Ovis aries: one gene and its partners. The protein of the gene in region 2 purifies or fractionates together with the protein of the main gene of each other region. This does not show direct contact. Links are inferred from orthologs where the notes say so. Each region holds a gene or a part of one and is shown on either strand. Other genes may lie near its edges.

Region 1 (7,994 bases), on a different chromosome or scaffold from region 2:
TGGTTGAACAAATAAGCAAATGTCTTTTCTTGTACGACAAACAGCATATAAACACAGAAGCTCCAAATGCAAAACAGCCCTTTTATAAGCTTATAAATAAACTTTGAAACATTCTGAAGCTTTCCAAATTAAAGTTTTTAAAGAGATGCTAACAAATGAAATAAGATATCCAATTTCAATTTCAGTAGAACTGAACCGAGATATAAAAAACGTTCCTCATCATTTAACGTTTAACAATTTACCATGAGAACCTTTTCTAGCTTTCGTATTAGAGGAAATTCACTTATAGTTCAATAAGCAGTAGCCTACAACAGATAAATTCTTCACAGTCATAGTTTAACTCTTACTACAAACTTCTAATATATAAAAATAAGAGGTGTTTTGTTTAAAAATAATTTTTGCTGTAATCTTGTCATATTCCAGTCACCTGGATAGATCCTATCTTTTTCACTTTCTCTTTTTCATGAGCTTATTCAACTTTCAGTTTCACTAACAGGACACCACAGACCTCCTTTCTGAGTCTCTCTTTGTCAGATCTTGAGGCTCTTTTACCCAATCACTGCTCTATCCCTGTTCCTGCCATGTCCCTGGATTAGCCTTCAAAACCTCTCTTCAATACACACTTTGAGAAACCTGTTCTGCTCATTCTTTCCTCCATATTCTCTCGTTAAAGCTCACAAACTAAAAATCACGTTTTGCTTTTTTCTTCCAACAAATACTAAAGGTCATGAGTTGCTTTTTAAATCGCAGACAATGCACCACTCTTACAGTAAATGTTGAAGGTATCAAACTGCAGTATCTACTTTGAAAGCTAAGCAAGCTATGTCACAGATAAGAATAAAAACTAGAAGGTATAAAAGAAACAGGGATGGAGAACAACGCTCTTAGTGGTGGAGGGGAATGTCTGAAATATGCAAGGAGCAATTACACACCATGACTAACTTCGTCTATCAGAGTGGAAATAACAATTGAAGAGTCCTATTATCAATAACCTAATACACAACTTGCAGAGAGCACTGTCCTTTTTGTATAGAACTAGCACTATTTTTCAAACGGAAAATCCTCATTAAACAATCATATAATTATTACTTACTGAATGCAACAGGCAAAAATTTTTATAATTATTCAACAATGCCAATTATATTAAATGCTGAATAGCTAATAAAAACTTGTGGTTTTATAGAATTCTGCTAGTAGAATGTTAAAAAGTATACATTCTGTGAATATGCAGAAGTAATTTTACACTAAATATACAACTGTCCTCTAATTCTGTTTGCTAATATTACAACACTTTCTTTTCCAAAAAATTGTAGATAATTTTACTTGGAAAAAACTGAAGTCACTTCAAGTGGAGTTAGAAGTCTGGATCAACACAAGGACGGCCTGTGTAGCGCTGTCCTTGTCAGCTCCTTGCAACGAGGTTAGCCTGGTTCTGAAAATATTTACTTAATGCAGTAATGTCTCATGTCTCCACAGGTCATGCGTCTTACTACCTCAGTACTGAGGAAGTAATTGAGGACCCAACAGCAAATGAAAAAACCAACAAGGAGCAGAGAAACGAAATAGTCATAAAGCGCATTCACAAGGCTCCATCAGTGCTTGGTTGTTACAAACGAAACCATCCCCTCAAGCTACTCACAGGAAATCTAAAACAGCAAATTAAGGGAGGAGGCAGGTTAGATGGAGATAGGCATGTTCATGGCAATGAGAATCGACAGAGAAAAAGCATAAGATCTACAAAACCAGAAAGGAGATATATAAATGTCTAATAACAGAGAATCCCAACTACAGAATGGAAACAGCACTGGAGTAAGAACTGTAGTTCCAGAACTACACTGATGCCAGGGCCCTTGGGAAGCCTAGTTACCCTAGGGCTCATCTTCCTGTTCTGTATAACGATCAAACAATATTAACATTCTCTTCAACATACTATAATTGATAAGCTTTTACTGTTTTCAAAAATGGCATGTAAACATTTTTACTGGTCATAAAGGAAATATACTGCAGAGAATCTGGAAAATACTAGGAGTGTAAAGGAAATTAAAACTGCCTATAACCTACCACCCAGAGATACCCATCATTTATATCTTGGTGTATTTTTTTTCAGGTGTCTTCATATATAAAAATTGTATATATATCTTTTTTGGTAACATTGTTATCAATCTGGTGTTATTTGTGGGCATTTTCCCAAATCAGAATGTTTCTGCAGAATTATTTTGATGGCTACATATATGGCAATTTGGGCTTCCCTGGTGGCTCAAACGGTAAAGAATCCACCTGCAATGTGGGAGACCTGGCTTTGATCCCTGGGTCAGGAAGATCACCTGGAGAAGGGCATGACAACCCACTCCAGTATTATTGCCTGGAGAATCCCATGGACAGAGGAGCCTGGTGGGCTACAGTCCGTGAGGTTGCGAAGAGTCAGACATGACTGAGCAACTAAGCACAGCGCACATACCAAATTTATTCTTCTAACATTGTGAATTTTGGTTGGTGTAACACATTTTATAAAGTATACTATACTGAATTCACAACAGGTCATTTTAAAAATGATCATTTATAGATACAGAAAGGAAGTAAGTTTTTCAATGAATAGTTTACCAAACACCAAGAAGAAAATTTCCAAGTTGTGGTCTGTAAAACTAGATTAGCAAATACAGTATTTAAATTCAATGAACAAACAAGACATTCAGAGAACCAAGTATCTGAATAAAGTTTTAGAAATGGTTGTTTTCAGTGATCTCTAATGCCAGCAATGAGACTTCCAATGACAAGAATTCTGAATTACTGTTATTAAATTACAATATGCTAGTCAAGCAGCACATATTAACAGCTCACGGTCACTCTGCTCATTCATTCACTAAGCAAATATTTACTGCATACTTACTATCTGATAGGTGTCAGGCTAGACTGCATTAAATATCAATTATCAAGAACCTTCTTTGTAAAATAGTCTTAAAAATGAGGCAGCAACATTTAACACATTTTAACAAATGACACAATTCGCCACAAATTCTATAATACCACCTCCCTCACTGTACTTAGTACCCAGTATCTGTCCTGCTAAACTTTGAGCAACTTCAGAAAACAGACTGTCACCATCTCTGTATTTACAGCGCTTGGTGTAAAACAGGAGTTTGACACAGGTTTGCGTAACGACCCTACACTCACAACCCAAAGTTTTTAAGTCCTAATATAAAAGCATACATTTATACAAAAGAAGTAATGTATACACTATTTTCGAACTATGTCCATGTTCTTACTGTTCATGTTCCTATCAGCCCTCGTAACCTTAATGGCTGAAAAATATTCTATCATGCTTAAATAATATAGTTTAGAAAGTGATTCTCCTAACACTGTCTTTGGAGGTTGCCCAGTGTTTTTATATTTTGGTGCCAATGCTCCAGCAAACACATCTTGCCTTACATGTCTTGAATTCTTTTCTGACTAGAAAAATTCAGCTCAATTCTAGAAGATAATCTTCCACAATGAAAGTGAATGTTAAAAGGATAAGATTTTTATACCATAGGCAGAATTTTGAAAGACAAAAAACACACATACACACAAAGAAACTAGAATTCTTTTTCGCCAAACCAAAGCAATTTAAATAAGTCCTCTGTTATGAGAGGTGTTGTCCAAAGTAAACTATGTTTTTTGGACGGCTTCATATATATTTAGGAGAGATACTTCAGGAGGCAGATAGTAAAAATACTGAGGTAACAAGCAAACAAACAAAACGTCTAACTACAACGTCAATGCTTTTGGAAGGAGGTACACACTTTTCCTCCACTTTCTTCGATTCATAGATTGTGCTCAGATCCTCAAGACTGCAGAAATGTAAGCAACGTGAGATCTTAAAGATGCCTTGATTTCCTTTCCCTGTGTATAGATCCTAATAACAATCTACCTGATACAAACACTTAAGGTTTGACCTTAGATAATACAGAGATAGTTTATACATTTATATTAAGTCAAGAAACTTATGTTCAGCATCTACAATTGTATCTCTGCAGTGTGGTTCTTCAGTGATTACTGAAATCAGACCCAGTCTCCTTTTGCTTATTTGGAGGGAGGAGACAGAGAGGAAAAGAAACAGTTAAACTATTTATAATTTAATTGAGATGCAAGTATGACTGTGAACAATCATCTCTAATAAAACAATATACAGTAAACTGTAATTTCATCATAGGGAGGAAGGGGTCCTTTTGGCCAGTCAAAAAAATATGCTCAAGCAAGTAATTTTAAATTCTATTTCTTTTAATAGTATTAATATTTAATATTATTAATATTCTATTTATATTTAATTTATATTTCGTCTATGTCAAATTGTTCATGAAACCCAGTGAATAATAAAACCTTTTCCATTGTTTCCTTTACAGTCTTTTTCATACACACATACAAGATAGGGACTCGACAAGAAAGCAAGAATTCTATAGGTGATGCTAGGAATATGGACCCTTTCGTCCCCGTAAGTTCCATTCACAGACTGCGGTAACATTCCACACAATACAGGGCGCATGCCGTGACAAAGACCTCCGAACACAAACATACAAAGCCATGCTTCTAAAAACGCCCCTACAGCGAAGTTCACAGCTGGCACTTGTGGCACACTCAAGCCACGACTGAGGCAGCTGTCACAGGCCAATCACACACTCAAGAGTGCCAGCGTGCCACCTAAGAAAGCCAAGCCGATGATGAGCGTACAAATCCCCACCCGAATAAAGAAGAGCCCCAAATCCCCACCCTGAAAAGCACAATGTCTGCACAACCCAGAAAACTCCCTCAAAACAAGTCAAAGGTTGGAGATTCAGAAGCAAGCTGTAACAGCTTATACAGTAAAAAGGAGAGGTTTTATGTGGGCATTCACGAGAAAGGAGCCACACCACCCAGTCATCACGGAAATAACCGCTAGGTAGTGTCTCACCAGGCTTTTTCAATTAGAAAAGGGAGACGAGGGCAAGGCGACGGCAGACGCCGCCGCACCTCCGTCCCAGGCAGCGCGCCGGGGCTGCCAAGCTGAGGCCTCCGCCTCGCAGGACCCCTGCCAGCCCTCCCCGGCCACCGCCTCCCAGCGCAGGCCGGGCGGCCTCCGGCTCTCTCACCTTGGCTTTGCCAGCCTCCAGCTTCTTCTGTCTCTCTTCGTCCTCCATAGCTTCTGCGGGGAAGGCTGGGGGGAACACAGGCAGGGGGTCGGGGACGGGAAGGCAAGGTCGGTTCCAACGGGGGTGGGACCGCAAGCTCCGCGGCGCAGGGCGCAGGGCCGGGCCGGGCGCTCGCCCCTCCCGGAGCGGAACCAGGCTGCGCGCTCACTGGCTGACCGTCCTCAGCCGCACGGGCCGCGTCGTCACCACCGCCGCCATCTTCGTCTCCACGTAAACACACGGCGGAACGGGAGGGGGGAGCACGTCGTCTGCGCAGCCGCCGCGAATCCCGCCGCGCCGGGCAGGTGCGCCGGCGGCCCCGCCCCGCCCCGCCGCGGCCCCGCCCCGCCCGTCGCGGCCCCGCCGGCCCCGCGGCCACCGCGGCGACCCCCTCCCGGCCTCCCGCCCGCCGCGCCCACTGGCGGAAACCCGGCTCTCGGGGGAGCACGCTTTCCCCGGGGCGCATGCCGCTCCGCGGGTGGAGGCCTGGCTGAGGAGGTGGGAGAGAGGGCGCTGTGTCAGGAGCGCCGGTCGGACCCCCACCGTCGTCCAAGGGACTCAGTGGTCCTTTTTAGAACATTTGAGATTTTTCCAGTTTCAGAGCAAAGGAGAAAGTACAGGTGCCTAACGCTGAAACTGGTGAACGCTGAAAAGCCCCAAAGGAAAAGACGGGGGCGAAGAAGGGATTGGGTTGGAGAAGTGAGCCACCGGATGACAATTTTTCAGCCTAGATTGACTGGTCAACCCGGAGGACTGGCAGGGCGGCCAGTAGCCTTCACTCCTTCCTGAGCCGAAAGTGCCTCCCTTTTTCCTCACATGAGGCTGCCCAATCGCCTGTTCATCTTCGAGGCCCACCTCACTCGCCGCCCTGAATAGCTTTTCTGATCTCTTTGTTTCCTCCTGTCTTAACTCAATCTCCTCCCACGAGCTTCCCCTTAGCTATGGTGCCCTGAAAGGCTCTAGGCTTTGCAACCTGGGTTGAAGACAAAGCCAGTGTAGACTTTTTCACTTAAATGACCTTGAACAAGTTACCTATCCTCCTCTAGCTTACCTGGAAGTTTTGGAAGGCTTGTTAACATATGTGAGTTAACGTATGTGACTCCCCCTGGCATATCAAAATATCCTTAATGTCAGTTCTCTTCTCCCTGTATTTCCTTTATGTACTCTGTGTTTTAATAACAACTTGTGCCCTTCTTAATTGGAGAAGGAAATGGCAGCCCACACCAGTATTCTTGCCTAGAGAATCCTGTGGATAGAGGAGCTTGGTGGGCTGCTGTCCACAGGGTCCCACAGAGTCGGACACGACTGTAGCGACTTAGCATGCATGCACGCATTGAAGGAAATGGCAACCCACTCCAGTGTTCTTCCCTGGAGAAGCCCAGGGACGAGGGAGCCTGGTGGGCAGCCGTCTATGGGGTCGCACAGAGTCGGACACGACTGAAGCGACTTGGCGGCGGCAGCAGCAGCTGCCCTTCTTACTTCACCTCCTACTCCCAACTCCTTAATGGCAAAGATTGTCTTGCTCACCTTGGCATTACTAAAAAGACCAGGGAAATGCTTTGCACTCAATAAACACTTGTTGGATTGAATTGAGCCATTTTAATAATTTTAGCATGACTCTCCTTCCTTTATTTTCATATCTTCCCTCATTACTTCCTTTTTCTTCCCCATCATCTTACCTTCAAATCTATTCCTGGGATGAACTAACTACACTTTTTAATTTCTCTAGTTGATCATGTTTCTCCTTTGTTTTGGGTTAGGCTGGACTGAAAAACTAGTATGTGTGAACTGGAATAAGCTATGCGTTAAATCATACAAGTGGTGTTGAGTGAAATTTGGGTTAAAAAAAGGAAAAAGAAGAAAAGCAAAGATCTTAAATCTACCACAAACGGAAGACCAGTTTTGAATAGTCCCGATTTAGACATTCTTAGAAGGCAATGGCACCCCACTCCAGTACTCTTGCCTGGAAAACCCCATGGGCGGAGGAGCCTGGTAGGCTGCAGTCCATGGGGTTGCCAAGAGTCAGACACAACTGAGCGACTTCACTTTCACTTTTCACTTTCATGCATTGGAGAAGGAAATGGCAACCCACTCCAGTGTTCTTGCCTGGAGAATCCCTGGGACGGGGAAGCCTGGAGGGCTGCCGTCTATGGGGTCGCACAGAGTCGGACACGACTGAAGCGACTTAGCCGCAGCAGCAGACATTCTTAGATTTAAGACAAAGACTTTTTGTTCTCAGACCCTGTAATGCATATGTAATTGTGGCAGCTTGTAACACCCAAGTATATATTGTCCTGTTTTCCTAACCTGAATTGAGAAGTGGATGAGATTAAGCATTTTATCATGGAAATAAATAATTCAAATAATAAAAGAGATAATTTATTGTCACCCGCCAAGCTGAGAGTAAAACTAGGTCTGGAACTAAGTGTTCTAATAGTGCAGTGATTTAAATACTGCCTGGACAGAGGGATTGTGTTTGTCGGTTCTGATTGTCTAGGAGGAGGAAGCCCTATAATATCTGACAAGATGTCTGTTCCTGCTTGTTAATAGATGCTGCTTTTCAATAACTAAGGAATTCACTTGTTTGTTCCACTATGTGCTGAAAACATTCAAGAAATATTTGTTCCAGTATGCGCTGAAAATGTTCAAGAATCTTTTAAAGGAATAAGATCATTTCAGTGTTTCCTGTTACTAAGACCAGCCAATCATACATGTTCGTCTTATATTAATATATAATGGGTGCTCAGTAAAGGTTGAAAGTTGCATGTTGACTTCTGTTAGAAGGGCAAATATGTGGCGCTAGTGCTCAAACACCTCCTTCTGGCAACTATTCAAGTCCTATCATTCATTCAC
Region 2 (8,114 bases):
TTGTGAACCCATGTATTGCAGCCCGCCAGGCCTTCCTGTCCATCACCAACTCCCGGAGTTCACCCAGACTCACGTCCATCGAGTCTGTGATGCCATCTAGCCATCTCATCCTCTGCTGTCCCCTTCTCCTCCTGCCCCCAATCCCTCCCAGCATCAGAGTCTTTTCCAATGAATCAACTCTTCGCATGAGGTAGCCAAAGTACTGGAGTTTCAGCCTCAGCATTATTCCTTCCAAAGAAATCCCAGGGCTGATCTTCAGAATGGACTGGTTGGATCTCCTTGCAGTTCAAGGGACTCTCAAGAGTCTTCTCCTAAGCATAGTTGTAAACAATTCTGAGAACTGGCCCCATGGTGTCCATGTCTGTTCTGAGGTTGGTAGTGTGGCAGCCCGCGCAAAATGATGACTACCTTCTGGGTGGTGAGTATATCTGTGTTGAGTAGAGCATCTCGCAGGACTCTGGGGCCTCCTCTTCTGTCTACCATGGTCTCTGTATTTCTCTTGCTTTCAAGGGTCTCTGCTCTTGACCTTTCCCACCCACCATTACTGGCTGTTGGCAGCTGTTTCCCAGTTACTGGCTGCCTTCGGGTTCAGTTGCCATGGTAACCCCCAGTGGTTCCGGTGGACAGGCTTGAATGAAGGCAATCCTAGAAGGGTGAGGATCGAAAATGTGGGGCTTGGGCCTCTCTTATTCTCTCTTGTTCCAAGGCCCTGTTCTTTTGCCAGCTCAGCTGGACCCTCATGAAGGCCCTGGGAACTCCCCCTTGCTATTGAAGGGTTTCCCCAGAGGGTCAGAGATGGATCCCAGCTCTGAGGACCAGGTGCAAGGGGAGGAGAGTCAAGCTGGACCTGGAGGCTGGCTCTCCATCCTTCCTCTGAAGCTGGTCTTTGGAGACAGGTGAGGAGCAGCTATGCAGTTCCCGATTTCTGTGGTCCTCATTTCCTCCAGGTCTGAAGATGCCTTTGACTGCCATGTTTGCTAGCTGGCTGGCCGGCTGGCTGACCAAGCTAGGGTATCTGAGACTAAGCCAGGAGGACCAACCTCCTTCAGGCAGGGGCTGAGAGGGGGTCCTTGGAGTGACTGAGAGAACCTGCCCACAGTCAGTTCTGTCGTTAGTCCTGGAGTAGCTTCCTCTTACCCTGTTTGCAACTGAAGTTGGAGTCCTGATTGTATAGCTGCCTTTCCCCCTTTCAAATGTATAAAACCTGACAAATGGGAAAACTAGAGAGTGGAGTTGCGAAGTTGCCTTTCTAAAAGGTTAATGGTAGGATTTCTTGAAGTAGGTCATATCCCCAGGTGTGGCAGGGCAGTGGGAGTCCCACCTTGGTTTCGAGTATGGGCTGACTCCTGGAAAACTTGGAAGGGTCAGTCTACACAGGAGCAGAGGCGAGTTGAGGAACCCTGCCCCTCCAGCTTCTCATTGCCCCGTCCTTACTGAAGTCTTTATATTCTGAGATCAGACACATAGCTTTGAATCAAAGGATCCTAATTCTGAGACTGAGGTCAGGAGAGCAGTCTCACTGGCTCTTCTTGCTGTGTGAAAATTTATTATTCATTTATTTAGTAAATCTTTAGCAAGACTGCAATAAGGACCCCAGCAGGGAATGAGCTGGACACTACTCTTCCCCTAACAAAGTTGATGGTTCAGAACTTCTCCCAGGAGTCAAGAAACTTGTCCAGGGAGACACTGCTCTTTGGAATCACAGACTTGCCTGGCCTGGGGGCTGGGTGGCTTCTGCACCAGTGGGGATCAGGTATTCCTGCTTCTAGATGCTCAGTTCCCAGCAGCACTGAGCTCCTGGATGTGTGCCAAGACAAAATGAGAGGTCCTAGTGAGGATTTAATTAATACTGGATAATTACCAGGCAGAGCTTAACCATCCCAAATGCCTTTCAGATTCCCAAGGCTATATCTAGTCACTTTCTGACTTGGCCCAGCAGAGAGACAGGATGCTGTCCCATGCTTACTGGGACTTTGGTCAGCACCTGGGCTGTGTTATGAACACACTGGGAAGGTTTCCACTTTTTTCTCTTCCTTTGCAATCTGCTGTAGGTGAAAGTGCAGCTTGGGAAATAGCATGGCCTCTCCAGATTGCTTAGGCCCCTTCCTAGGGACAAAGGATAACAGTGTCTTGCCATCTGCTGAAACACCATCAAGCAATGCTGGCCCAGGGCCCAGGGTCCAGGGCAGAGTATGGGGAGAGAATAGGTGTGCAGACCTAGTCCTGGGAAGCCTGATGGGAACCCTCAAGCAGAGAAACAGGCACAGTAGTCCTTCCTGCCCTAGGCTTTATTCCTTTTTCTCAAGGAACATATTTTCTAACTCATTTTTCCAGATTTATCTGCCTGTGGCTCCCAAATTATTATACCATCGAAACTCCTACTGTCTACAAGGCCTTCTTTCTTTGACATCTCAAAGACCTCCTGCCAGACTTTAGAGGGTCCTATGGTCATTCCACCATGCCACCCAACGGTCAGGGTGGTTGTGACTTTCCCTGGTCTTCACTCTTGTTGTCCTCTATGTCCACATGGCTTTCCTCTGGCTCTTCCTGTGGTTAGATCCTGCCCAGGTCTCGGAGTCAGCTTGAATGTCACCCCCTAAAGAGGGTCCCCTTGTTCTCCACCATATCTGGAAGCACACCGAGATGGTAAGGTGGCATTCTTGCCTGTGGCTCTCAGCTATGTCCCTGGTACCCAGTAAGCGCGGGCAGATGGTTGGAGCTTAGCGTTTGCTGAAAGAAGAAATGAAAGATAAGAGGCACTAACACTCCGCTTAGCGGGTAGACCTCTCATCCTTGCGCCTGGACTGAAGATCACCAGGGTAGCCGGGCGAGCAGACGGCCCCTTGGCGCAAGCGCACTGAGGGCCGGCGCTCGGCGGGAGCGCGCACGCTCGCGGCCGCGTGCGTCACAACCCGGGCTCCCGCCCCGCCCGTCCAGCTCGCCCGCTCGTCGGTGCCCGCGGCGGCGGCGGCGGCGGCGGCGGCGGCGGCGGCGGCGGCGGCGGCGGCTGCCCAGTGACAGCGGCGGCGGCGCCAGGCCGGCCGGAGTAGCGTAGGGTGGTGGGGCCCGGAGACACACACCCTGCCAAAGGGCGGCGTGGCGCGAGGAAGGCCCGACCCGGGTCGCGCGTGAGGAGACCTCGCGGGGCGCCGGGCGAGAGGCCGGCGTGAGGGAGCGCCCGCCTAGGCGGTGGCCGCCGGCGGCCCGGTCCCGCCTGCCGCCGCCGGCATGAGCCACATTCAGATCCCGCCCGGGCTCACGGAGCTGCTGCAGGGCTACACCGTGGAGGTGCTGCGGCAGCGGCCACCAGACCTCGTCGACTTCGCGGTGGACTATTTCACCCGCCTGCGCGAGGCCCGCTCCAGAGCCTCCACCCCGCCCGCCGCCCCTCCTTCCGGCTCCCAGGATTTCGATCCCGGCGCTGGCCTGGTCGCCGACGCGGTGGCGGACAGCGAGTCGGAGGACGAAGAGGAGTTGGACGGTAGGCGGCGGGCTGGGCAGGGGTTCGCGGTACGGGGACCGAGGAAGCGGTGCCGGGGGGCGAGGGTCTCTCGAGATCCAGAGAGGGGCTGCGAGGGGCCAGGCCCGCCACCCTGGGCCGGGACCTTGGAGCCCGCGAGGGGAGTTCGTCCAGGTTCCCCAAGCCGCCGGCGTGAGCCACTTCCAAATTGAGCTCGGCGATCCTGCCAGCCCCGGAAAGCAGCGAGCGAGTTGTCAGATTCAGCTCGAGGGAAACGTGCGCGCTTTCGGCCCGCGTGCTGGCGCAGGGCCGGAGGGGCGTGGAGCCCACGGCCGCCTCGGCTGGAGAAGCTTCGCCCGGTTTCGTTGCGAAGACAAGAACGTTCGCCTACACCGACTCGAGTTTCCTAACCAGGACGGTAACTTGGGAAAGAACTCATTTTGTGAAAAGTTATCGTGCAAACTTTAAGCGTAGACAGAAATAGAAAAGGTGACCTGAACTCCCTGTATACCGTCACCCACGTTACACAGTTGAAATATCTGTCACAAATGTTTCATCTCTCTATATATATTTTTTCTCCTTTGCTGAAGTATTTTAAAGCAAGTCCCAGCATTTCACGTTCTTTCAGTCTTGGATACTTCAGTATATGTATAAAGATATATGTATAAAGATATATTTAATTTGCCTAAAATCACTGGATCAAATGTGGTGAGGGTCAACAATACATTTTTTTCTCATATGTGGTGCAGGAAAGACGACTAGTAACACCTCTATATCTGATTTAAGCAAGATTGTCAAAGAGGAATTCCATTTTCCTTGATGGCTTCAACACAGACTTTGTCAGTTTAACGATAGAATTACCCTAGTTTTGAACAGCCAGAATTTAACAAAACAATGAAAACACTTGAGAGACAAAGTTAGAGACTTAGTGTTTACTAGCTCGCACTGAGAAAACCCCCAACAACCTAGTTTTGAGTTGAATCCGCATGTAAGTTAGGCTGGCAGGGAGTTAATTATTGGTCATTGCTATTGCAGGTTGTAAGGTTCAGTGCCGTGGACAACTTAGTTTATTCACGCTAAGAATGGAAATTGTTCGGCCATGTTACCCTGGCTTTAATACACATTAAATTATGGGTTTTTCACCTTAAACCTGGAAATCAGAACTTATTTCACAAACCAACCCCTGCCACAGAATTGCTTTGTGGTCTAAGATAAGCCATGGAACTTGTCTGATTTCAAATTTGCTTATCTTTAAAATAGGGTTAGTGACCACAATCTCCCAGGAATAAATGTGTTTTTAAAAGGTTTATTTCAGAAGTGACTTCTGCATTTGTTTCACTGTCATAACAATAAATCACAAAGTTGTAACTTGCTTTGCAACAATATTTACCCCAAATGTTATTATTTTAGTTATTAGTCACAGGTGAGTAAAACAGAATTTCCAAGTTTTGTGTCATGTCTTCATTTTTTGGTCATTTTTTATATATTTTTCAAAGTTGAATTGACTCAAATCTTTGTAACCCTGTGCTTTATTTTACTGGTATTTAATTTTTTTGTTTATATCTCTTCAGTGGCTGTGCTAAGTATAATTATAGCAGTCAACACAAGGTGAACTTCTGTTTACAGATAATAGACTAAAAATACACTGCACACAGTGAGATACCACTTCATAACCATGTGGTTGGCTATTATGGAAAAAAAAAAAAAAACAGAAGAGCAAGTGTTGGTGAGGATGTAGTGAAATTGGAACTCTTGCTTACTGCAGGTGGGGATGTAAAATGTCCTGGCTGCTGTGGAAAACGGTTTGACTTTTCCTCAAAAAGTTAAACATAGAATTACTGTGTGATCAAGCAATCCCACTATGTGTATACCCCCAAAGAACTGAAAGCAGGGAGTCAAACAGATACTTGTATACTGGTGTTCATTGCTGCATTAATTCACAACAGCCAAAAGATAGCCCAAGTGTTCTATAGACAGATGAATGTGTTATATATACAAGCTGTGGTATATATGTACAATGGCACACTATTCATCCTTAAAAAGGAATGAAATTCTGATGTATACTACAGCATGGATGATTCTTTTTTTTTTTCCAACAACGTTTCATATTTATTACTGAGTCTCATAGACTGATAGTGAGGAAACAAAGACCATCAGGAGCCAAGTATTACAGTAGTGATGTTCTTTTTTTTCTTAGTAGTGATGTTCTCACTGTGATTTGGCTGGTTAAAAAAGTTGCCTTAACATGTGTGCCACTTTTTATGTGAGGCTTCTTATAGACCCAGCTTGGTTCTTCTCCAGTGTCTTCTCTGGGAATTGTACCTGATCTTATTGCCAGTTTTCATTTGAATCCATTGAGGAATGGGCCAATTCCGCTTTTGTTTCTTGGCCAGGAATCACTTGATCCTGAAAGTCTTGTGAGATGATATGGTGAGGAGAGAACTCAACCGCACATAAGATGGCGGAGAAGAGAAAAGAGGAAGAGCGTGGATGATTCTTGACGACATTATGCTAGTATAATATGCTAGACACAAAAGGACAGATATTGTATGAATCCATTTATATGAAGTACCTGGAATAGGCAAATTCATGGAGACAGCGGAATAGATTACTAGGAGTTGGGGAGAGTGGACAGTGGGGAGTTACTGTTTAATGAGGGCAGAGTTTCTGTTTGGAATGATGACAAAGTTTTGAGGTTGGATAGGGGTGATGGTTGCACAACGTTGCAAATGTACTTAATACCATGAATTGTACACTTCAGTGGTTGAAATGGTAAATTTTATGTTATGCAGAAAACATATATTTTTGAAAAGATAAGAAATACTAGGATTAGGATGACCGAAAAGTTCATTCGGGCTTTTCTGTAACATCATACAGAACACATTGCATATCCAGAGATTAGGAACATTAGGATAATAAGTCCACAGTACCTAAAATTAGAAATAGGGTATATAGTATGAGAACCATAATATATCAGAGACTTTATTTAGTAGGGCTTCCCTGATAGCTCAGTTGGTATAGAATCTGCCTGCAGTGCAGGAGACTCCTGTTCTAATCCTGGGTCAGGAAGATCCCCTGGAGAAGGGATAGGCTATCCACTCCAGTATTCCTGGGCTTCCCTAGTGGCTCAGCTGGTGAAGAATCCACCTGCAGTGCTGGAGACTTGGGTTCGATCCCTGGGTTGGGAAGATCCCCCTGGACAGGGGAAAGGCTACCCACTCCAGTATTCTGGCCTAGAAAATTCCATGGACTGTATAGTCCATGGGGCTGCAAAGAATCGGACACGACTGAGTGATTTTCACTTTCACTTCACTTAGTAAGGTCCTGAATGGCTAACCACCAATTCAGTTTATGAAAGTGTATGTTGCTAGAAACACTCAAAAAGCTTCACTAATTGTTATTGGTTTAGTTTAACAACAGTTTGATATCAAACAACACATCAAATATGAAGTATTAGAATGAATATTTCATTCTTGGGAAAGCCTGAAGAGTTCAGACTTTCTTGACTTATTAATAACTTACTCTGACTGCATCCTCATAGGAATAATAACTTGGCATCTAGACTTGATTCACTTCTGTAATTACAGTAAAACATATTTGTGGGTCTCAGCATTTTTTTCTTTTTTGGATTTTGGAGACATAATTCATATACCACATAATTAACCCATTTAAAATGTTTAGTTCATTGGTTTACTGTATCTACAAGATATGTACAACTGTCACCACAGTCAGTTTTAGAACATTTTTATCACCCCCCCCAAAAGACACCCCGTACACTTCAGCTATCACCTGCCCACATCCCTATTCTCCTCAGTTTTAGACAATTACTGATTTCCTTTCTGTCTCTATGAATGTGCCTGTCCTGGCCAGTTAATTTAAATGGAATCATAAAGTATATGGTCTTTTTGCTTCTGGCTTCTTTCCCTTAGCATAATGTTTTCAAACTTCATCAATATTGTAGCGTATATTAGTGCTTCATCCCTTTGTATTGCTGAAACCTGCTCCATTGTGTGAATCTGCCACATTTTGTTTGTCCATCCAGCAATTGATGGCCACTTAGGTTGTTTCCACTTGTTTATTGTTACGAATAATGCTATTGTGAACACTCCTGTGTGTAAGTTCCTGTGTGGATGAGGGTTTTCATTTCTTTCTGGTATATACACAGTAGTAGAATTCTTGCACCATGTGGTAACTCTTATACTTCATATTTTGAGAAACTAATTGTTTTCCTAAAGTGGCTGTGCCATTTTACATTTTCTAACCAGCAGTGTAAGAGGGTTCTGATTCCTCTCCATCCTTGTCAGTGCTTTTTATCTTTTTTATTATAGCCAGCCTAGTGGGTAGAAGAAGGCAGTGGCACTCCACTCCAGTGCTCTTGCCTGGAAAATCCCATGGACGGAGGAGCCTGGTAGGCTGCAGTCCATGGGGTCGCTAAGAGTCAGACACGACTGAGTGACTTCACTTTCACTTTTCACTTTCATGCATTGAAGAAGAAATGGCAACCCACTCCAGTGTTCTTGCCTGGAGAAACCCAGGGATGGGGGAGCCTGGTGGACTGCCGTCTGTGGGGTCACACAGAGTCGGACACGACTGAAGCGACTTAGCAGTGGGTAGGAAGTAGTAGCTACCTCATTGTAGCTTCACTTTGCAGTTT
Region 3 (8,178 bases), on a different chromosome or scaffold from region 2:
GAGCAGGTGCCCACTCCCTCTATACAAAGCGGGGCACCCGGGACCCTCGGGAAGGGCTCAGGTCTATAATCACCTCTCCCGGTCCTGCATGCCCTCCCCACCGCTGCTGCTCCCGCCCCTTCCTCCTTCCTTGGACATCATGTCCAAACGCTGGTTGATCTTGGCGATGAGGGAGTCAGAACTGTCAGAGCATGGTTCTGGGCCGTAAGAAGCCATGTGCATGGCAGGGCCCCCAGGCGCCAGGCCGTCGCTGGCCTTGGTGGCCTCCCATGAGGCTGGGCCGTAGCTGTAAGTTGCTCCGGTGGTGACGCTGGTGTTCTGGGCACCATAGTAATTGTAGTTTTCATAACCTGATGGAGGGAGGAAGAGCTAAGTCAGATCTCAGCAGCTACAAGACCAGTCCCTGGGGGACAAGTCAGGCAAGGAGCACCCGCCGCCTATGGAGAAGAAAGAGGGTCCGGGGACCAAGGGCTGCTGCCACTGCCCCAGCACTGCACACGTCACCTGCCAACAGGTGGCAGGAGGGCACGGCCTCAACTCTGAGCGGTGGGTTTTCTATACCGAATCATAAGACTTGGTTCTCATCCAAAGCCAGAGAGCCCAGGAGCTGGCAGTTGGAAGACTGATGGACCCACCAAAGAGCAGACCACCACCACAACCCTCCCTACCCCCGACCTCCAGCAAGCTCCCTCGGAGGCCTGCCCCAGCCCTCCCCCGCTGCCCCCAGCCCTCCCCCATATCTCAGACCCAGTCTGCTGAGGCTTCAGGACAACCATGAGCACACCAAGGATGGGAGATGGGGGTCCCTGCACCCCAGCCCCTCGAGGTAGCTGGTCAGAGGCCTACTCACCCACCCACAGACCCCTAGAAGGGCGTACCTTGCCAGCTGGCCACACCAGTTCCATATGTACCTTAAATTAGAAGAAACAAAAACATACAAGATTTCGGTTTACAAAACGAAGGCATCTGAGACGTAGTTCCTCACCCCGACCCCAGCCTAGGCACTGAAGGACGGTCATCACCTCACTCCACTATCCACAGGGCCAGAGCTGGGGGTGGCTAGGTCAGTGTTGCAAGGAGGCACCCTTGGTTGCCCACTGAGGTCAGGAAAGGTGGGGTCCACTAGCTGTAAAACTCATTTCCTACAGAAATGCTCAGCTAAGCGTAACCAGGGCATCTCTCCTAAGGAAGCTGTCCTTTAGGGCAACAGAAAGGACACTACAGTCTTTTTCCGGGAAGCTCATCCAGCGTGGGCCAGCAGCGAAGAGGCTGCCAGGCCAGGCCCCCAGGCAGAGCTGTTCCAAAGTGCCAGTTTCACCAGGCGCCAGATCTAAGGCACCGCCAACAGCACGGAGTGCACTGGTGGAAAATCACGTCCCCAGCTCAACTGAACAGGGGACATCGTGTGCCTGGGCAACACACAAGGCCTCCTGCTGGGACACTAGGTGATGGGTGGAAAAGTGACTCAAAAGCAACCCTGCTGCCAGTGGTGCAAGGGCCAAGTTCCAGGCTCAGAAAACAAAGGAAACCTTCAACCAATCCCCTGGAACAAATGCTGGCAAAAAGCAGAAAACCTCGCCCACCAGAGAGTACATTCTAGTTCTTCAAACACACTAAGTACCAGGATGGGGACTCCTGAGCCGGGTCCATGGACGGGCCTAGGGCCAAATCCAGTCCACAGCCCTGTTTTTGTAGGGCCCACAAGCTGAGAATGGGTTTTATGTTTTTAAACGGTTGGGGAACAAACAAATAAAAAAAGTCAAAATAATACTTCATAGCATGCAAATTCTGACAAAAGACACATTTTCGTATCTGTCAAAACTCACAGAATTGTGCAACAGAGTAAAAACTAATGTAAACTATAGACCATACATTGTATGAACACTGGCTTATAAACTGTAACACATTCTGCTAACTATAATAATAAAGGAAATTGTGCCTGAGTCGAAGATAGACTGTGAGTGTGCATATGAAGTTCTATGTACTATCTGATCAATCCCATAAGCCTAAAACTACTGGAAAGTATTATTTATAAAAATCTTTGGTTATACCCTCGACTATTTACTTAAGATAGAACAAAAATTGTTAAAATAAAGACTGTTTGATGACATAATGGAAATCACATGGTATGCAAATTTCAGTGTCTTTATGTAAACATTATTGGCACACAGTCCTACCTACTTGTTTATAAACTGTCTATGGTGGCTTCTGCACTATAGAGACCATATAGCCTGCAAAGTAAAAAAATTTACTATCTGGCCCTTTACAAAAAAGGCTTCCTGGTTCCAGCTATGTTCATGCTAGTGCTGGGGGCGGGTAGCCCATGCCTCCCTGACAAGCAGGTCTCACTTACCCTGGGTGTTGGTAGGTCCAGCACTCCATGCCCCATAACCTGTGAACATATTTGTGAGTTACAGTCATACTTGTCACACCAGAGAACAAGTGCTTCTGAGGAGCATAAAGGAATCTCCTTGAAGGAGATGAGTGCCAGTCTTACAAGAAGGCAGCACAACCACAACAATGCCCCCCTAAAAGTCATCCCACAGCTGGCTTTTGCATTATCACACTCCACCTGCCTGAGGTCAAAGCAGAAAAAAGAGGAGGGGGATGGGCCTCTGCGCCAGTTTGGTCCATCGCTTGCTGAGGGACCTTGACCTAAGCCTCAACCCACAACTAAGGAAGACACAGGACTAGCTACCAGCTCACTCACCATTAGAACACAGTCCCCACCCCCAGCCCCCTCAGGCAGCCATGAAGTGAAGTGAAGTGAACTCGCTCAGTCGTGCCCGACTCTTTGCGACCCCATGGACTGTAGCCTACCAGGCTCCTCCCTCCAAGGGATTCTCCCTCCATGGGATTTTCCAGGCAAGAGTACTGGAGTGGGTTGCCATTTCCTTCTCCAGGGGATCTTCCTGACCCAGGGATTGAACCTGGATCTCCCGCATTCCAGGCAAACGCTTAACCTCTGAGCCACCAGGGAAGAACCGCCTAACTGGGAATAAACTTTGACTATCTGGAGCCAACAGCTGTGTCTCTGCAGGCCTCGCTTCTTTTGACTCTGAACTCTCCAATGCTCCTCTGGGCCTTGACGTCCCAGGGCTTCAGCCTGGTCCTGAGGCATCAGATGGCATTCCTCTCTGTAGTGGCTCCCCCGGCCCCTCTGGACACTCCCATGACAGCATCTATCTGGTCCCTCTTTACCTGTGTTTCCAGCCTGACACTGAGCTGGGCACAGGCAACCTTTCATACCTGCCAAATGACTTCACTTCTGCAAAGCCTCCTCTCTCTCAAATACTTCCCTTCTCTCCTACCAGGACTGGAGTAGGAAATGGCAACTCATTCCAGTACTCTTGCCTGGAAAATCCCATGGACAGAAAAGTCTGGTGGACTGCAGTTCGTGGGGTTGCAAGAGCTGGACGTGAGTTAGCAACGGAGCATGAATGTTCCTACCAAGACAATCCAAACCATTAGATGAATGCCTACTGTATGCCCACACGAGACTGACACTCAGCTGGTGAGCCCAGAATGCCATTCAGAGGGAGCTAGGGAGCTAAGGCTCAGACGTTATGGGACTTGAACTGAAGTCACCCTGCTGAAGGTTATCTCCCGTCACACAGATTTCCACGTCTATGCAGCAGAAAAGCAGAGCAGTGATTCTAACAGCAACTGACCAACTCTGTGGAACTGGTCTAACTAAAAAGCATAAACCATTCACATAACCTCAAGACCCTTGAAATAGGTACTGTTCACTCTGTGGTACACAGGGGTTCCAGAGGATAAGTCACTTGCCCAAGAACATGTTAAGGAGCAGGAAGAGGAGGACTTGGACCCAGATCGAGGTGCCTCCGAGGGCCAACGAGCAACTCTTAAACCGCAACAAGTCTTAGGAAATAACTCTAGGTGGAAAAGCTACAGAAGGATTCTGGGAGGCCGCTGCACCTAAACCGAATCTGAAAAGGTTTTCTGGTAGGTAGAAGGGGAGCAGGGTGTAAACCCTCTAAGCTAAGAGCACAGGTAAGGCAGGATTATTACTAGCTGGAAAATCTGGTTAGGGAAGCAGGCAAAGAAGGGTGAGATCCAATCTGACTGCCGAAAAGACCAGAGAACCAGGCTGAACCACTCAACGACCTTGGAGACACCCGGGCACACCAGACACCAGGACCGTTCTGCTTCTGCTGCTGGCCTCCTGCTAATGCTGCCCTTTCAAAACACGCGCCTTCCCTGCGGCAGCCAAGATCTGATCGCCCGTGTCTGAACCTCATAAGCCAGGACAGAGATCCGCGCCGGGTCAAGCCCAGTCCTGCATATTCCAACTATTCCCTGCAGGTAAACGCGGCTTCCAGCAAGCAGCAAAGGCCTCCTAGGAGGCTCAGATTCCAGAAACAGAGCAGGTCGCTCGAGGTCCGTCCTGCCGCAGGCCCTGAAATCCAAGTGGGTAAAGGGCACTTTCCACCTCACACAGCCCCTCTGGCGTCTCCAGGCCACCACAGACGACAACCTTTAGGAGAACCACCAGTCTGTCACGACCCCAGAGCACATAGAGTTTCCAGGCTTTGATCAAGAAGGTACCCCGCATCTGACCCTCAGTGTCTTGTCCCAGATGTGCTTGAGCCAGGTCCGCGACAGTCGCCCAGTGAGGCTGATAACCGCAGAGGCTGCACTAGGCCCGGCTGCTCTGCACCGCCCGACTGGCGGCAAGGGGTCCGAACCTGCGCCGCCCACACGGCCTTCGGGACCAGCGCCCCAGACCTCCTGTGCCACACGGAGGCCCCAGCCAACCCCGCAGGTTCCCAGACAGGCAGGCACGACAGCTCGGGAAAAGGCAGCGATCCCGTCTCGGTCCCAAGCCACAGACCCCGCGCGCCCCACGAGATCCCGTCATAGCTCCGCCTCCCGGCGCCGCCATTTTGTGGCGTCTTCCGAAAGAGACACCGGGCCTGCGAGCGGCGGGGTTCGGCAGGGCCCGGCCGACCCAGCCGGGGGTGAAAAACTGAAACTGCGCCGAATGCCTGAAGCGCCCCCCGAAGTCCGCCCCAGCGTCGGGCCGCCGAACTCGGCCAACGTGCTCAGGTCCTGTCGGCCAATCCGCACGCAGCGCCCCGGGAACGACAGGGCCGAGGTCCAATGAGCTGCGCGCGCGCGCCCCGGCCGCCTCTCCACCAAGACCGAACTGCGGTAACCGCGCTCGGGTGTAGTCTCCGGCCCGCGGCCCCCTGCACGGCGTCGGAACTGTGCCGGGACACCACCTTCCCGCCCCACCCCGCAGAGTCGCCCACACCAACCTCCGTAGCCCTGATCCATGTCTTCAGCTCCGCCCGCCAAGCAGCTCCTTTTTCTAGGCTATCACAGGACGCATGCGCTCAACGCACTTCCCGCCGTCCTCTAATGGTAGACCAGGCGCATACGTCACCCCTGCTACGCGATACCATTGGCCGTAGTTCACGGCGGGCCCTCCTTTATCACCCCGGCTGGCCTTCCGGTTGTTCCGGGTCGGTGTTCATAGCTTGCTAGTTTTGCTCCTGGGCGCTGTGCCTCACCGCTCGCAGGCGTATCCATTCTTTTCGCCGCCAATGCGCAAACCTAACCCAACAGCCCCAGGTCGCACCCGCAGACACACACAGCCCAGCGGTGAGGCCTGGACCCCCGCCCAGGCGGACCGTGCAGCACACAGACAAAAGACGACGACGACGAGGTGGGATGAGACGAACTTTTATTAGACTCAGCTTGCAGCCTCGGCCCCGCGAGCCCCGCCCGCCCCAAGTCATGGAGCGCCTCCTCCTCCCTCCTCTTCGTCGTCAGCCTCCACGTCGAGGCCCGGGATGCCTCGGATCTGGCGCTCCAGCGCCCCGCCTAGTAGGGGCACGGCCTCCTCGTCCTCCTCCGGGGGCGGGGGCGGGGGCGGGGGTGGGGACGCGGCCCCGGGTACTGGCTCTGGAGGCACTGGGGGCTGAGCCGGCACGGCCTCTGCACCCTCCGCGACCCCGGCCGCTTCAACCAGCGGCCCCTCATCAAGGACACCTCCCTCGGCCTCCTCTTGTTCCTTCTCCTCCTCTGGGCTGTCAGTGAAAGGGTTCTCACCCTGCGGAGAGGGGCGCGACATGAAGAAAGGGAGAACCCGCGGGGTCGCGGCTGGGGACTGGGCCGGCATGCCAGGGGCGTGCACCTCACCTTCAGATAGCGCTCCAGTTTCTTGCTGATTAGCTTGTTGTTTAGGATGCTGCGAGCCACCATGAGCGAGGACTTCTTAGACTGCTCCATCATGAGCTGCGGGCAAGGCAGGCAGGGCTGCAGAGGCTGACCCAGGCATTCCAAAGAAGCCTCCCACCCTCACACCGCCGGATCGGGTAGAGCCCAAACACACCCGCGCACCTCTCCACCTCCACCTCGGGACCCAGCACTGCCAATGACTACAAGCAGACTGCGTTAGGTCTGTAAGTGGACCCTTGAGTACAAGCGTGGGTTCACTCTACAAGCATGGAGCCAAGACCCGATTTGATCTTTGCTCCAATGGTCCATCTTTCCACGCCATACTTACTGTAACTGATTAAAGTCATGTCTTTACAGCTGTACTGCAGCGATCTGATTTGCTTACATAAAAATTTATAAGCAGTGAACAAACACTAAAAACCAAATGTGCAACTCCTAACAAGAGGGCAACTGCCCTAAAACACACACAACTCTGCAGGATAAACAGGGAGGATATAAAAGCAGGAAAAGAATGTCAAACACTATGTTTAAGTGATACGAAAGTGTTAGTTGCTCAGTCGTCTCCGACTCTGCGCCCCCATGGACTGTAGCCCCGTCAGGCTCCTCTGTCTATGGGATTCTCCAGACAAGAATACTGGAGTGGGTTGCCATTCCCTTCTACAGGGGATCTTCCCCACCCAGGGACTGAAACCAGGTCTCCCACATTGCAGGCAGATTCTTTACGATCTGAGCCACCAGGGAAGCCCTTAAGTGATATACATCCTTTTAATCCATAAGATTCCCAAGATAAAGAATTATACCCTCAAATGTAAAGGTTGAAAAGAGACACTTAACACTCTTGGTGAGAGGCTCAAGTGTTTATTTTCTGAAAAATCATTGTGATAGTACTCATTGGTAAAGATTCTGATGCTGTGAAAGATTGAGGGCAACAGAGGATGAGATGGTTGGATGGCATCACTGACTCAATAGACATGAGTCTGTGCAACTCTGGGAGATAGTAAAGGACAGGGAAGCCTAGCATGCTGCAGTCCATGAGGTCGCAAAGAGTTGGACAGGACTCAGCGACTGAACAATAATCAAAAGTAAAAATTTTCTCAGCAATTCCTCCAGGGAGTCTAGCCTAAATTTAAAATTGGGAACATGCAAGTACACTGGTTGCAGAGGTGAAAAATTGGAAAGCACCTTAGTGTTCTTCAGTGGAAAAGTGGTTACATAAACCAGATGTTCAGAAGAACACCATGCAGTCTTAAAACAGGGCTTCTCTCTCCCCTGGCATAAAATGTGTGATGGGACAGAGTGCGGAGCATGCCAGTGTCTGGGGCAATTTACACCAAAATGCTACATGATTTTCTCTGTGAGTGAAGGCAACTCTCACTTCCATCATTAACGCAAGTAATGGGTAACCCAAGTATAAAGCCATAAACAGAAAAAAAAAAGCTATTTTTGGAGGGGTGGGGAAGCTGACCTTTGGGACCTCTACTCAACCCTAGCCAACTCTTTACATCGGATTTCAGAAAATCACTTCATTTGTCTGTTTCTATTCCCTTTCCCCACCTTCATCTTTTTTCGTTTTTACTTGGGGAAAATAGTCCTCATGTATGCTCAAAATGAAACAAGTTAAAGATGCACAAAAGAAAACTGCCTACATACTGGTTTCCCCTGGTGGGGAATAAAAGGGATAACCGGTTCTAATCACAGCTGTAGTTGCGGGGACTTTAATCTCTGGAGCACTTACAAGGCTGTAGTAGAAATGGATATCCCGTGGATATATTATATGTTAAATCATGTGTTATCTGTGGAATACGCACTCTCAATGTGCACACCATTGACTACAGCTACAGAAGTGTTCCTTTAGCTGTGACTCAATTTTCTCTGGATAAGGGCAGAAACGTGTCACATTCCATTATTTGTAAAGTCAACAGCTGTTTGCTTTTGTCGCTTTTGCTACACTCACGTTCTTTCTATTCAGGT

What was found.
Region 1: the proteins of PRKAR2A (region 2) and AKAP9 purify together in Homo sapiens (affinity purification with western blotting; 3 studies listed by BioGRID, with this or other methods). This does not show direct contact. The link is inferred for Ovis aries from reciprocal best matches to the Homo sapiens genes PRKAR2A and AKAP9.
Region 3: the proteins of PRKAR2A (region 2) and AKAP8 purify together in Homo sapiens (affinity purification with western blotting; 3 studies listed by BioGRID and IntAct, with this or other methods). This does not show direct contact. The link is inferred for Ovis aries from reciprocal best matches to the Homo sapiens genes PRKAR2A and AKAP8.

Annotation. Positions count from the first base shown.
Region 1 is NC_056057.1:10,030,146-10,038,139, reverse strand, and holds the start of AKAP9 (A-kinase anchor protein 9), read right to left. Parts: upstream 5,383-7,994; 5' UTR 5,151-5,382; coding exon 5,103-5,150; intron 1-5,102. UniProt on the Homo sapiens protein: Scaffolding protein that assembles several protein kinases and phosphatases on the centrosome and Golgi apparatus. Required to maintain the integrity of the Golgi apparatus. Required for microtubule nucleation at the cis-side of the Golgi apparatus.
Region 2 is NC_056072.1:51,131,216-51,139,329, forward strand, and holds the start of PRKAR2A (cAMP-dependent protein kinase type II-alpha regulatory subunit), read left to right. Parts: upstream 1-2,936; 5' UTR 2,937-3,228; coding exon 3,229-3,481; intron 3,482-5,733; exon of another isoform or gene 5,734-5,967; intron 5,968-8,114. UniProt on the Homo sapiens protein: Regulatory subunit of the cAMP-dependent protein kinases involved in cAMP signaling in cells. Type II regulatory chains mediate membrane association by binding to anchoring proteins, including the MAP2 kinase.
Region 3 is NC_056058.1:7,592,183-7,600,360, reverse strand, and holds the start of AKAP8 (A-kinase anchor protein 8), read right to left. Parts: upstream 5,362-8,178; 5' UTR 5,302-5,361; coding exon 5,283-5,301; exon of another isoform or gene 4,582-5,282; intron 2,393-4,581; coding exon 2,354-2,392; intron 912-2,353; coding exon 879-911; intron 351-878; coding exon 74-350; intron 1-73. Other genes in the region: AKAP8L (A-kinase anchor protein 8-like), read right to left, coding at 5,762-6,079, 6,169-6,264. UniProt on the Homo sapiens protein: Anchoring protein that mediates the subcellular compartmentation of cAMP-dependent protein kinase (PKA type II).